2 linked regions of the Saccharomyces cerevisiae S288C genome follow. The protein of the gene in region 2 binds, or shares a complex with, the protein of the main gene of each other region. Each region holds a gene or a part of one and is shown on either strand. Other genes may lie near its edges.

The links.
Region 1: KAE1 (region 2) and BUD32 share a complex: the UniProt entries of both Saccharomyces cerevisiae proteins name them as parts of the EKC/KEOPS complex.

What each region holds. Positions count from the first base shown.
Region 1 is NC_001139.9:1,015,080-1,019,676, reverse strand, and holds BUD32 (serine/threonine protein kinase BUD32), read left to right. Parts: upstream 1-1,917; coding exon 1,918-2,703; downstream 2,704-4,597. Other genes in the region: methionine--tRNA ligase MES1, read left to right, coding at 1-79; SAY1 (steryl deacetylase), read left to right, coding at 436-1,710; APL6 (AP-3 complex subunit beta), read left to right, coding at 2,927-4,597. UniProt on the Saccharomyces cerevisiae protein: Component of the EKC/KEOPS complex that is required for the formation of a threonylcarbamoyl group on adenosine at position 37 (t(6)A37) in tRNAs that read codons beginning with adenine.
Region 2 is NC_001143.9:509,183-515,047, reverse strand, and holds KAE1 (tRNA N6-adenosine threonylcarbamoyltransferase), read left to right. Parts: upstream 1-1,888; coding exon 1,889-3,049; downstream 3,050-5,865. Other genes in the region: SPC34 (Spc34p), read left to right, coding at 3,251-4,138; CAF4 (Caf4p), read left to right, coding at 4,415-5,865. UniProt on the Saccharomyces cerevisiae protein: Component of the EKC/KEOPS complex that is required for the formation of a threonylcarbamoyl group on adenosine at position 37 (t(6)A37) in tRNAs that read codons beginning with adenine.

The DNA of each region.
Region 1 (4,597 bases), on a different chromosome or scaffold from region 2:
GGCAGAATACTTGTTCCAACGTATTGATGAAAAGAAAATCGATGAATGGAGAGCCAAATATGGTGGTCAACAAGTGTAAGGTTCATCGGAAGCATTTTTTTTCCTCTCTTTTCCCTTTCAATCTTCACATGATAAAAGTGTATCAATTAATATATAGATTTTACTCTGATATAAAAACAAGTTTAAAAAACAATTCTCCCGCTAACACGTTTATACCCTTTCTTTTAGTTGAGTAATTGTGTAGTGTTAAGCTGAGAATATTCATGATTTGATTTCTGATAAATAACTTCTGCTTTATAATAACAAATGTTTAACGTGTTAGCGCCATAATTATATAGAATTGAGGGAAAAAGAAACTGAAAACCAAAAATACCCTGCGTCGCTTGAAATGAGAACAGCACAAATCAATTTTAAAGGAAAAGGTTTCAAAGAAGAATGGCAGCCAACTCTGGTCTCGACTCAAAAGTTGAATATTATCGGCTTCAAGAGAATGAAATTATTAGCGCTGTATCAAGTGAGGATGCAGATCAAAATGATGCGGGCTTTCGATTGAGTACCATCCATTTGCATTTGTTCCATGGATTGAAATTTGCCGCTCTATTGTTCACAGTGGTGCCTGTATTTATAATCCTCGACAGTATGAAGATCATTTTTCAACGCAAACGTAGGTTTTGCCTTGACCATGTCAACAGAAGTTTTTTAAGACAAAGTTCTTGGATCCTCGATGAACGCATCTGTCAATACGTGCTCAATCCTTTATTTGTTTGTTTATATCCTTCTACATTTTCTAGTCCAACATATGTCAAATGCAACATTCCTATAGAAGATCAGAAATCTCCAGAAAACAATATTTTCCAAGACCATCAATTAAACGCACCCAAAATAGTTAGCACAAAGTTTTATCAATATGTTATGCCGGAAGGATTTGACCCCACGACAGATCCAGTTTTAGTATTCTATCATGGGGGTGGTTATGCTCTTAAATTGACGCCTACGTCGTTTTCTTTCTTGAATAATATGCGAAATGCCTTTCCTAAAATGGCCATTCTTGTACCAGATTATACCGTTACAGCTACCGATGACCAGTCGAAAAAGTACCCTCTGCAAATTTTACAAAATGTGGCCATTTTTGATTACGTTGTTAAGACTATGGGGTGCAAAAATGTAGTGATTATGGGGGATTCTGCTGGTGGCAATGCTGTTTTGAACATTGTTTTATATTTAAGAAAGTGTCACAGAGAAATATACCCGAAAAAAGTCATAGCCATAAGTCCCTGGGCCAATGCCACTTTCTTCCACGAGGGAGAAAAGGAATATATGCAAGGAACACAAGAATGGGATGGTCTATGTTTGAAGAGTCATTCGATGTTTGGGCGAATGTTTGTAGGAAACAACCCAAACGTCGATTTTACCAGCGACCCTTTTGTTAATATTGAAAAGAATTTCGAAACTAAAATGTGGCAAGATATTCTGAAAAAGTGCTCTGTGATGATTACTTATGGTAGTGATGAGTTGTTGAGCTTTCAAAACAAGATCTTGGCAAAGAAAATGAGTGACGCTAGCGAGGGATGTAACCACTTTACCGCCAAAAATGTGCTGGTTGAACACCAAGGTTATCATACGGGCCCAATATTAAACTACTCTCGTAATATGGATCGCTGGACCAACATACCATCTATCGCTCGCATTCTTGAGTTTATGCAATCCTGAATTTGTCATAATGACAATTACATAACCCCTTTTATATACATAAATATTTGGGTCAGCACAAATTTATTTTGATTTTCCATTATTTTAGCAGCAACAAGGTTGAAAAAATCGCCGGCGCATCACCAACTTGAAGGACAAAGATAACCTTACTTGAAATCAAATAAGTGATGAATACGACAGCGGAAAAGGTTATACGCTTTGCTCATTATGACGCAAGAATTCATTGATAAAGTATCTTCCTACCTGACTCCTGATGTGGACATTGCACCTATTTCTCAAGGTGCAGAAGCCATTGTTTTCACAACGACTACTCACCCATATCTCCCAAGAGCAAAGGATTCTCATCAAAAGTATATTATCAAATATAGGCCACCAAAGCGTTATAGACATCCACAAATAGACCAGGCACTAACAAAACATCGTACGTTGAATGAGTCGCGTTTATTGGCCAAATTATACTTGATTCCAGGGCTATGTGTCCCTCAACTGATAGCGTGTGATCCATACAATGGATTCATTTGGTTAGAGTTCCTTGGAGAAGATCTTCCCGGAGGGCACGGTTTTAGTAACCTAAAGAACTTCCTTTGGATGCATGACCAAGATCCATATAGTGATCTTGTAGCAACTACACTACGGAAAGTGGGGCGCCAAATTGGGTTGTTGCACTGGAATGACTACTGTCATGGTGATTTGACAAGTTCTAACATTGTTCTCGTGCGAGATGGTGCGAGATGGACGCCTCATTTGATTGATTTCGGTCTGGGCTCAGTTTCAAACCTGGTCGAAGATAAAGGCGTCGATTTATACGTCTTAGAGAGAGCTATTTTAAGTACACATTCGAAGCATGCGGAAAAATACAATGCTTGGATCATGGAGGGGTTCGAAGAGGTCTATCGTGAACAAGGTGCGAAAGGTGCCAAGAAACTGAAAGAAGTTACCAAAAGATTCGAAGAGGTCAGGTTGCGTGGTCGTAAGAGAAGTATGCTAGGATAATATAAATGCTAGCGTACTGCCTGTATATCGCTGCACATAATATGTATCTATAATTTATATTAACGTACATAACTTTTAGGTATGTTACCATCAAAGCGTGTCCGAGTTATTGAGATTTTGACAAATTCAGACAAATCATTTTTGAAGAACCATATATATAAATATATAAAGAAAAGAAAGGTAAACCAAAGACAGCAAACAATCGAAAAGTGGACAACCAGCAATGGTAGATTCAATTCACCGTATTGCATCGGCGTTGGATACGGCCAAAGTAATAACGAGGGAAGCTGCCGCGGTAGCCACCTCTAAGCTGGGTGAATCCTCCTATACTTATTATTCTCAAAACATCAATCCTCAACAGTTAGTCACCTTGTTAAATTCTAGGAACTCTAGAGAAGTTAGAGATGCAATGAAGAGAATAATATCTATAATGGCTTCCGATGATGACTCTATTGACGTTCAATTATACTTTGCTGATGTTGTAAAGAATATCACCACTAATGACACCAAAGTGAAAAGACTTATTCACCTGTATTTACTTAGATTTGCAGAAAATGACCCAAACCTGACCCTGTTATCTATTAATTCTCTTCAAAAATCATTGTCTGATTCGAATTCCGAACTGAGATGCTTTGCTTTGAGTGCCCTTTCTGACATGAAAATGTCATCATTAGCACCTATAATTTTGCATACTGTCAAGAAATTGGTTACAGATCCATCTGCAATGGTTCGTGGTGAAGTCGCCTTGGCCATTATCAAATTATATAGGGCTGGAAAGAATGACTATCATGAAGAATTGTTGGATATTCTGAAAGAATTAATGGCAGATACAGATCCTAAGGTGATATCCTGTGCTGTCCTAGCTTACAAAGAATGTTATGCGGATCACTTGGAGCTATTGCATGGACATTTTCGCAGATATTGTAGAATAATTAAGCAACTAGATTCGTGGTCACAATCATATTTAATTGAGCTGCTAATCAAGTACTGTAAGCAGTATTTACCAAAACCAACTGTGGTCGATAAATCATCAGAAGGTTCCCCAAGGAGTTGTCCTTTACCAGATAAATACAACGAGATTGAATACCCATCTTACGAGGTGGTAAATGACCCTGATTTAGATTTATTTCTACAGAGTTTGAATTGCTTAATTTATAGTTCCAACCCTACAGTGATTTTATCGTGTTGCAATGCGCTATATCAGTTAGCTTCACCATTGCAGATGAAAAATACTAAATTTATTGAAGCATTGGTTAGAACGGTAACCATGACAGAAAACCAAGGTAACAAAGAAATGCTTTTACAAGCAATTCACTTCTTATCGATCTTAGACCAGACACTATTTTTACCCTACACCAAGAAATTTTACGTTTTCCCCAAAGATCCTATTGTGGCATCAATTTGGAAGATCCAAATTTTGTCCACGTTAATAAATGAATCAAACGTTAAAGAAATATTCAAAGAATTGAAATATTATGTTGCCAGTGCTCATTTCCCAGAAAATGTTGTTATTATGGCGGTTAAGTCATTATCTCGATGTGGCCAATTGTCAACGAGTTGGGAATCACATGTAATGAAGTGGTTAATTGATCATATGGAATCCCACAACCTCTCTGCTTCTGTCCTAGATGCATACGTGAATGTTATCAGGATGCTGGTGCAAAAAAATCCTACAAAACATCTTCGCATAATCTTCAAGCTTGCAGATTTATTAACAGTTCAAACGAGTTTGGCTGATAATGCTCGTGCAGGTATTGTTTGGTTATTTGGTGAAATTGCCTCGATTGAATTTAAGATATGTCCGGACGTTTTGAGGAGGCTAATCCAGAATTTTTCAAATGAGGGTCCTGAGACAAGATGTCAGATCTTAGTGTTATCAGCAAAACTGTTGTCA
Region 2 (5,865 bases):
TTTGTTTCTTATAAATGTTGCTGTCCTTGGTCTGTTCTTTTCTACTTTTGTTTTGTTGAGGACAATAAGAAAACAAGACTTTGTATACAAGGAATTCAAAAATCAATCTAGGAGAAAAAACATCGTCTCATTGACATTCATTTAAGTGGACTTCACCTTCATCTTTATATGTCTCATCCAGAGCGAATTCCGGAAGAAAGGTGTGTTGCCCCAACTATGCGCTTATCATGTTTAATTTACTATGAGGAGGTAAATGGCCGGTTGCTCCAGAAGATAAGCTAATCGGACGTAAGAAAAAGCATCCAAACTGACATTTAACAATCTTATCAGTTACCAAATCAAGTTCCCCGTTATCGCACTCGAGAGATATGGGCGATGTGACTTTGCTGCATGAGGTCAATGGGTAGATTAGTGAGGCTGCCTGATAGCGGCACGGCACCAACGACCCCTTATCAAAAGGAAATGGTATAAAAAAAAATAAATAATAATTATTAATAAAAATATCACTGATTACGATTCTAGTGAGCAGATAAGCGATCGGCTGAAAAAAAAAGTCCTAAAACAGATATCATGATGAAAAAAACAACCATAGATTCCACCGGATCAGTGAAAAAGTAATCAACGGACCTGTGGAAGGTCGGAATGAGTCGCCGACGGAACTCATGCTGCCCCTATTCTCCTTTGTGTCTGGTGTCAGGTCGATCTGCACAGCGTAATGATACTTCGACTAGTCAGAACGCAACATATTGTCCTTGGCACTGGTGTGTCTAATCTATTGTTGTAGGTTACGTAAGCAGGGGCAAGACACCATCTGATGGGTTGAAAAGAATGTGTAAGTATTAGAACCTTAGTTCAAACAGTAAAAAATACAGAGAGCTGTGTCTAATTTAATCATGTATGTTCTGTGTTGATTTATCTATCAATGCTTTAGTGCTTCGTAATAGTACAACTTCAGAGTGAGTATGAGAAAGTTTCTTTTAACTTTTGGCCCAGGATTTTTTGCCGGCCGGGCAACGCAATGTGTTCTCTAAATTGGGTAGTGATGATTTTATATACATCAGGTCAAACATAAACCAAGCGACAGATTTGTCGAAGATATTCGACGAGGTATTTTTTGATTACTTGACCCAGAGCGAGGTGTAAATGATGTATTTCACACGGATGGAACGCCCGCAAGAGTCTACTAAGCAAAACATGATGTTGAAATATCATCTGTTTAGTAATATTCATATTGCTAGTATACTATCATATGCGGTGTAAGAAGAGGACATAAGGTTGAAAAATAGTCATCAATCTAATGAAAGCTGAAATGCAAGGATTGATAATATAATAGGATAATGAAACATATAAAACGAAAGCAGAAAATAATCGTAGTATTATTATGTAGAAATATCGATTCCATTTTGAGGATTCCTATGTGCTCGAGTACAATTTCTAGTATATTCTGTGTATGTATATTATAGTCTTTATCATCAATGGCATCCCAACAATTATCTTAAAATTCACCCATTTGTCAAGATAATGGTTGATTCTTATTTAGACACAATAAAAAAACTTGAAGACATCTGCTTCTGAGCTGTAGAGGTACCAATTCGACGAAATATAAATATTTAAAACTAAGAGAAAAAATCCAACAAATAACGTTCCGTGATAGTTTAATGGTCAGAATGGGCGCTTGTCGCGTGCCAGATCGGGGTTCAATTCCCCGTCGCGGAGATTTTTTATTTTGCTTTTTATTCCTCCTGTAATATCGCTTTATACGGAAAAACTGAATTCTTTCATTATGATGAGTTCGAGAGTAACCATTTTTACTTCGTGCAACGATGCATATATTTATCTTTTACGTGAAGGGAATTCCCAAGCGTTCCCTAATGCAGTCGGGAGCAAAATGGTCAACTTGAACACTATCCCACCCAAAAATGGCAGGGACTACTACATTGCGCTTGGACTTGAAGGTTCTGCAAATAAACTGGGCGTTGGTATAGTTAAGCATCCGCTTCTGCCTAAACATGCCAACAGCGATCTATCTTATGATTGCGAAGCTGAGATGCTTTCTAATATTAGAGACACATATGTCACACCTCCTGGGGAGGGATTTTTGCCTCGAGACACGGCAAGGCATCACAGAAATTGGTGCATAAGACTCATAAAACAAGCACTGGCCGAAGCTGACATCAAAAGCCCGACACTAGACATTGATGTAATTTGCTTTACCAAAGGTCCCGGCATGGGGGCCCCTCTGCATTCAGTTGTCATCGCCGCCAGAACGTGCTCCTTACTGTGGGACGTGCCACTGGTGGGAGTAAACCACTGCATTGGTCACATCGAAATGGGGAGAGAAATCACTAAAGCTCAAAATCCTGTGGTACTGTATGTAAGTGGTGGAAATACACAAGTTATTGCATACTCGGAAAAAAGGTACCGTATCTTTGGTGAAACGCTTGATATTGCTATCGGTAATTGTCTTGATAGATTTGCAAGAACTCTGAAGATACCTAATGAGCCCTCGCCTGGCTACAACATCGAGCAGTTAGCTAAAAAAGCCCCTCACAAAGAAAACTTGGTAGAACTTCCCTATACAGTAAAGGGGATGGATCTTTCGATGAGTGGTATATTGGCTTCCATCGATTTACTTGCCAAGGATCTATTTAAGGGCAATAAGAAAAATAAGATCCTATTCGACAAGACAACGGGCGAGCAAAAAGTCACTGTAGAGGATCTTTGCTACTCTCTGCAAGAGAACCTATTCGCCATGCTAGTTGAAATAACAGAAAGAGCTATGGCTCACGTTAACTCCAATCAAGTTTTGATCGTAGGCGGTGTTGGTTGTAACGTGCGATTACAAGAAATGATGGCGCAAATGTGTAAAGACAGGGCCAATGGGCAAGTACATGCTACAGATAATAGGTTTTGTATCGATAACGGAGTTATGATTGCCCAAGCAGGACTACTAGAGTATAGAATGGGTGGGATCGTGAAGGACTTTTCTGAAACTGTTGTTACGCAGAAATTCAGAACCGATGAAGTATACGCAGCCTGGCGTGATTAACGATTTTTGTTACAGTTAGCCTAATGTTCACACTACGAATATATATATATATTTATATATGCCATACACCTTACATTTACAGCTCAGTGTATAACCTTGTGGAAGCGCGAAAATAAGCAAGAGACATTTGAAAATAATCAATAAACAAAGCTCAAAAAAATTAGATCATCACCTAACAAAATAAGACGTGGCAATTACAGAATGGGGGAAAGCTTGGATAGATGTATAGATGATATTAATAGGGCGGTGGACTCTATGTCCACACTCTATTTCAAGCCACCAGGAATTTTTCATAATGCCATCCTACAGGGAGCAAGCAACAAGGCAAGCATTAGAAAAGACATTACTAGACTAATAAAGGACTGTAACCACGACGAGGCGTATCTTCTGTTCAAAGTCAACCCTGAGAAACAATCCGTTTCACGTAGAGACGGCAAGGAGGGAGTATTCGACTATGTTATTAAACGAGATACGGACATGAAAAGAAATAGAAGGCTGGGCAGACCAGGGGAAAAACCGATCATCCATGTGCCCAAGGAAGTATATTTGAACAAAGATCGTCTTGATTTGAACAATAAAAGGAGAAGAACCGCCACTACAAGTGGCGGTGGCTTGAACGGTTTTATTTTTGATACCGATCTTATAGGATCCTCTGTCATTTCAAATTCAAGTTCAGGTACATTCAAAGCATTATCAGCCGTGTTCAAGGATGATCCGCAAATTCAAAGGCTCCTATATGCCTTGGAAAATGGAAGCGTGCTCATGGAAGAAGAATCCAATAACCAAAGAAGAAAAACCATCTTTGTCGAGGATTTCCCTACTGATTTAATTCTTAAAGTTATGGCCGAAGTAACAGATTTATGGCCACTAACAGAGTTCAAGCAGGATTACGACCAATTGTACCATAATTATGAACAACTTTCTTCCAAATTGCGCTTCATCAAGAAAGAAGTTTTGCTTCAAGATGATCGCTTAAAGACTATGTCACAGTACCATCCTTCTTCTTCTCACGACGTTGCTAAGATTATTCGAAAAGAAAAAGATGAAATTAGGCGGCTAGAAATGGAGATAGCCAACTTGCAAGAGTAGGGGAGCACTTCTCCTCAAGAATAGATATTTCCTTTGTCCTAATTGCATACATAGGCCACTGCAAATCATATAATTATGTATTACCTTACATCTAAATGTATAAAACCAACTGAGCGGATCCACCATGGGTCTGTCTCCTGTTAAAGCATGTAGCTTCATGTTTCTCACATAAACTTTCCTCATCGTAATGGAAAAAAAAAATAGTCATAAAAAAAAAACTAACCATGAATGACATATAAGATTACCACGAGCGAGAGTAAAAAAGAGTATCTCTATATGGGTTCGGGCGATACTAGAGGAGAAAGCTCTCTGGTAGCTAAACCAATCGAAATTATACTTAATAAGCTACCACATGCCATACTAGCGCAACAACAATTTCAAAAATATATAACGAGCCCCATCTACAGATATCTTTCCAAACTTCTACTGTTCAGAGAGGTGGCTTGGCCCGAAAGTACAAAAGATACCCAGAAAGGACAAGTAGGGATATTTTCCTTTCAAAACAATTATGCAGACTCTGCAACAACTTTCAGAATACTTGCTCATTTAGATGAGCAGCGATACCCGCTACCCAACGGTGCCGCTGAAAAGAATTTACCTTCTTTATTTGAAGGATTCAAAGCTACCGTTTCCATCATTCAACAGAGACTGTTGTTAGACAATGTAGACGGGGCCACGAATAGTGATAAGGAAAAATACGTTCAATTGCCGGATATTAATACTGGTTTTGTGAATAAAACGTACTCTAGAATTGACCTAACACATTTACTTGAGGATGTAGAAACTAACGTGGAAAATCTGTCAATCAATAAAACGTTAGAGATGGATGAGTTGACCAGATTAGATTCCATGATCAACGAACTAGAATCCAGGAAATTAAAAATCCTGGAAAGGGTTAAGCACATTGATAGTAAGTCTACCAATCTTGAGAATGATGTAACACTGATAAAGGATAGAATAAATTTTATCGAGGAATACAATTTGGAAGCTGATCGTGAACAGAGCTTACGGAAGCAAATGGAAGAAGAAAGATCATCTGAAGCGTCGTCCTTCACGCAAAATGAAGAAGCCATATCGTCGTTATGTGATGTTGAAAGTAAGGATACGAGATTAAAAGATTTTTACAAGATGCCCCATGAAAAAAGCCACGATAAAAACAGGCAAATTATCTCAGAAACATATAGCCGAAATACCACGGCTTTCAGAATGACAATACCCCATGGCGAACATGGAAACAGCATAACCGCATTAGACTTTGATACACCATGGGGAACCTTGTGCTCATCAAGCTACCAAGATCGTATAGTAAAAGTGTGGGATTTGAACCATGGGATACAAGTTGGAGAGCTGCCTGGTCACCTTGCTACTGTTAATTGCATGCAAATAGATAAGAAAAATTACAATATGTTGATTACTGGAAGTAAGGATGCCACTCTGAAGTTATGGGACTTAAATCTGAGTAGAGAAATATATTTGGACCATAGTCCATTGAAGGAGAAGACAGAAGAAATTGTTACACCATGTATCCATAATTTTGAGTTACATAAAGACGAAATCACAGCCCTGTCTTTTGATTCTGAAGCTTTGGTTAGCGGATCTAGGGACAAAAAAATATTCCACTGGGATTTAACGACGGGCAAATGTATTCAGCAACTTGACCTTATCTTCACACCTACACATAGCGACATTAAAATGCCTGCACGTTCATTAAACAATGGTGCATGTTT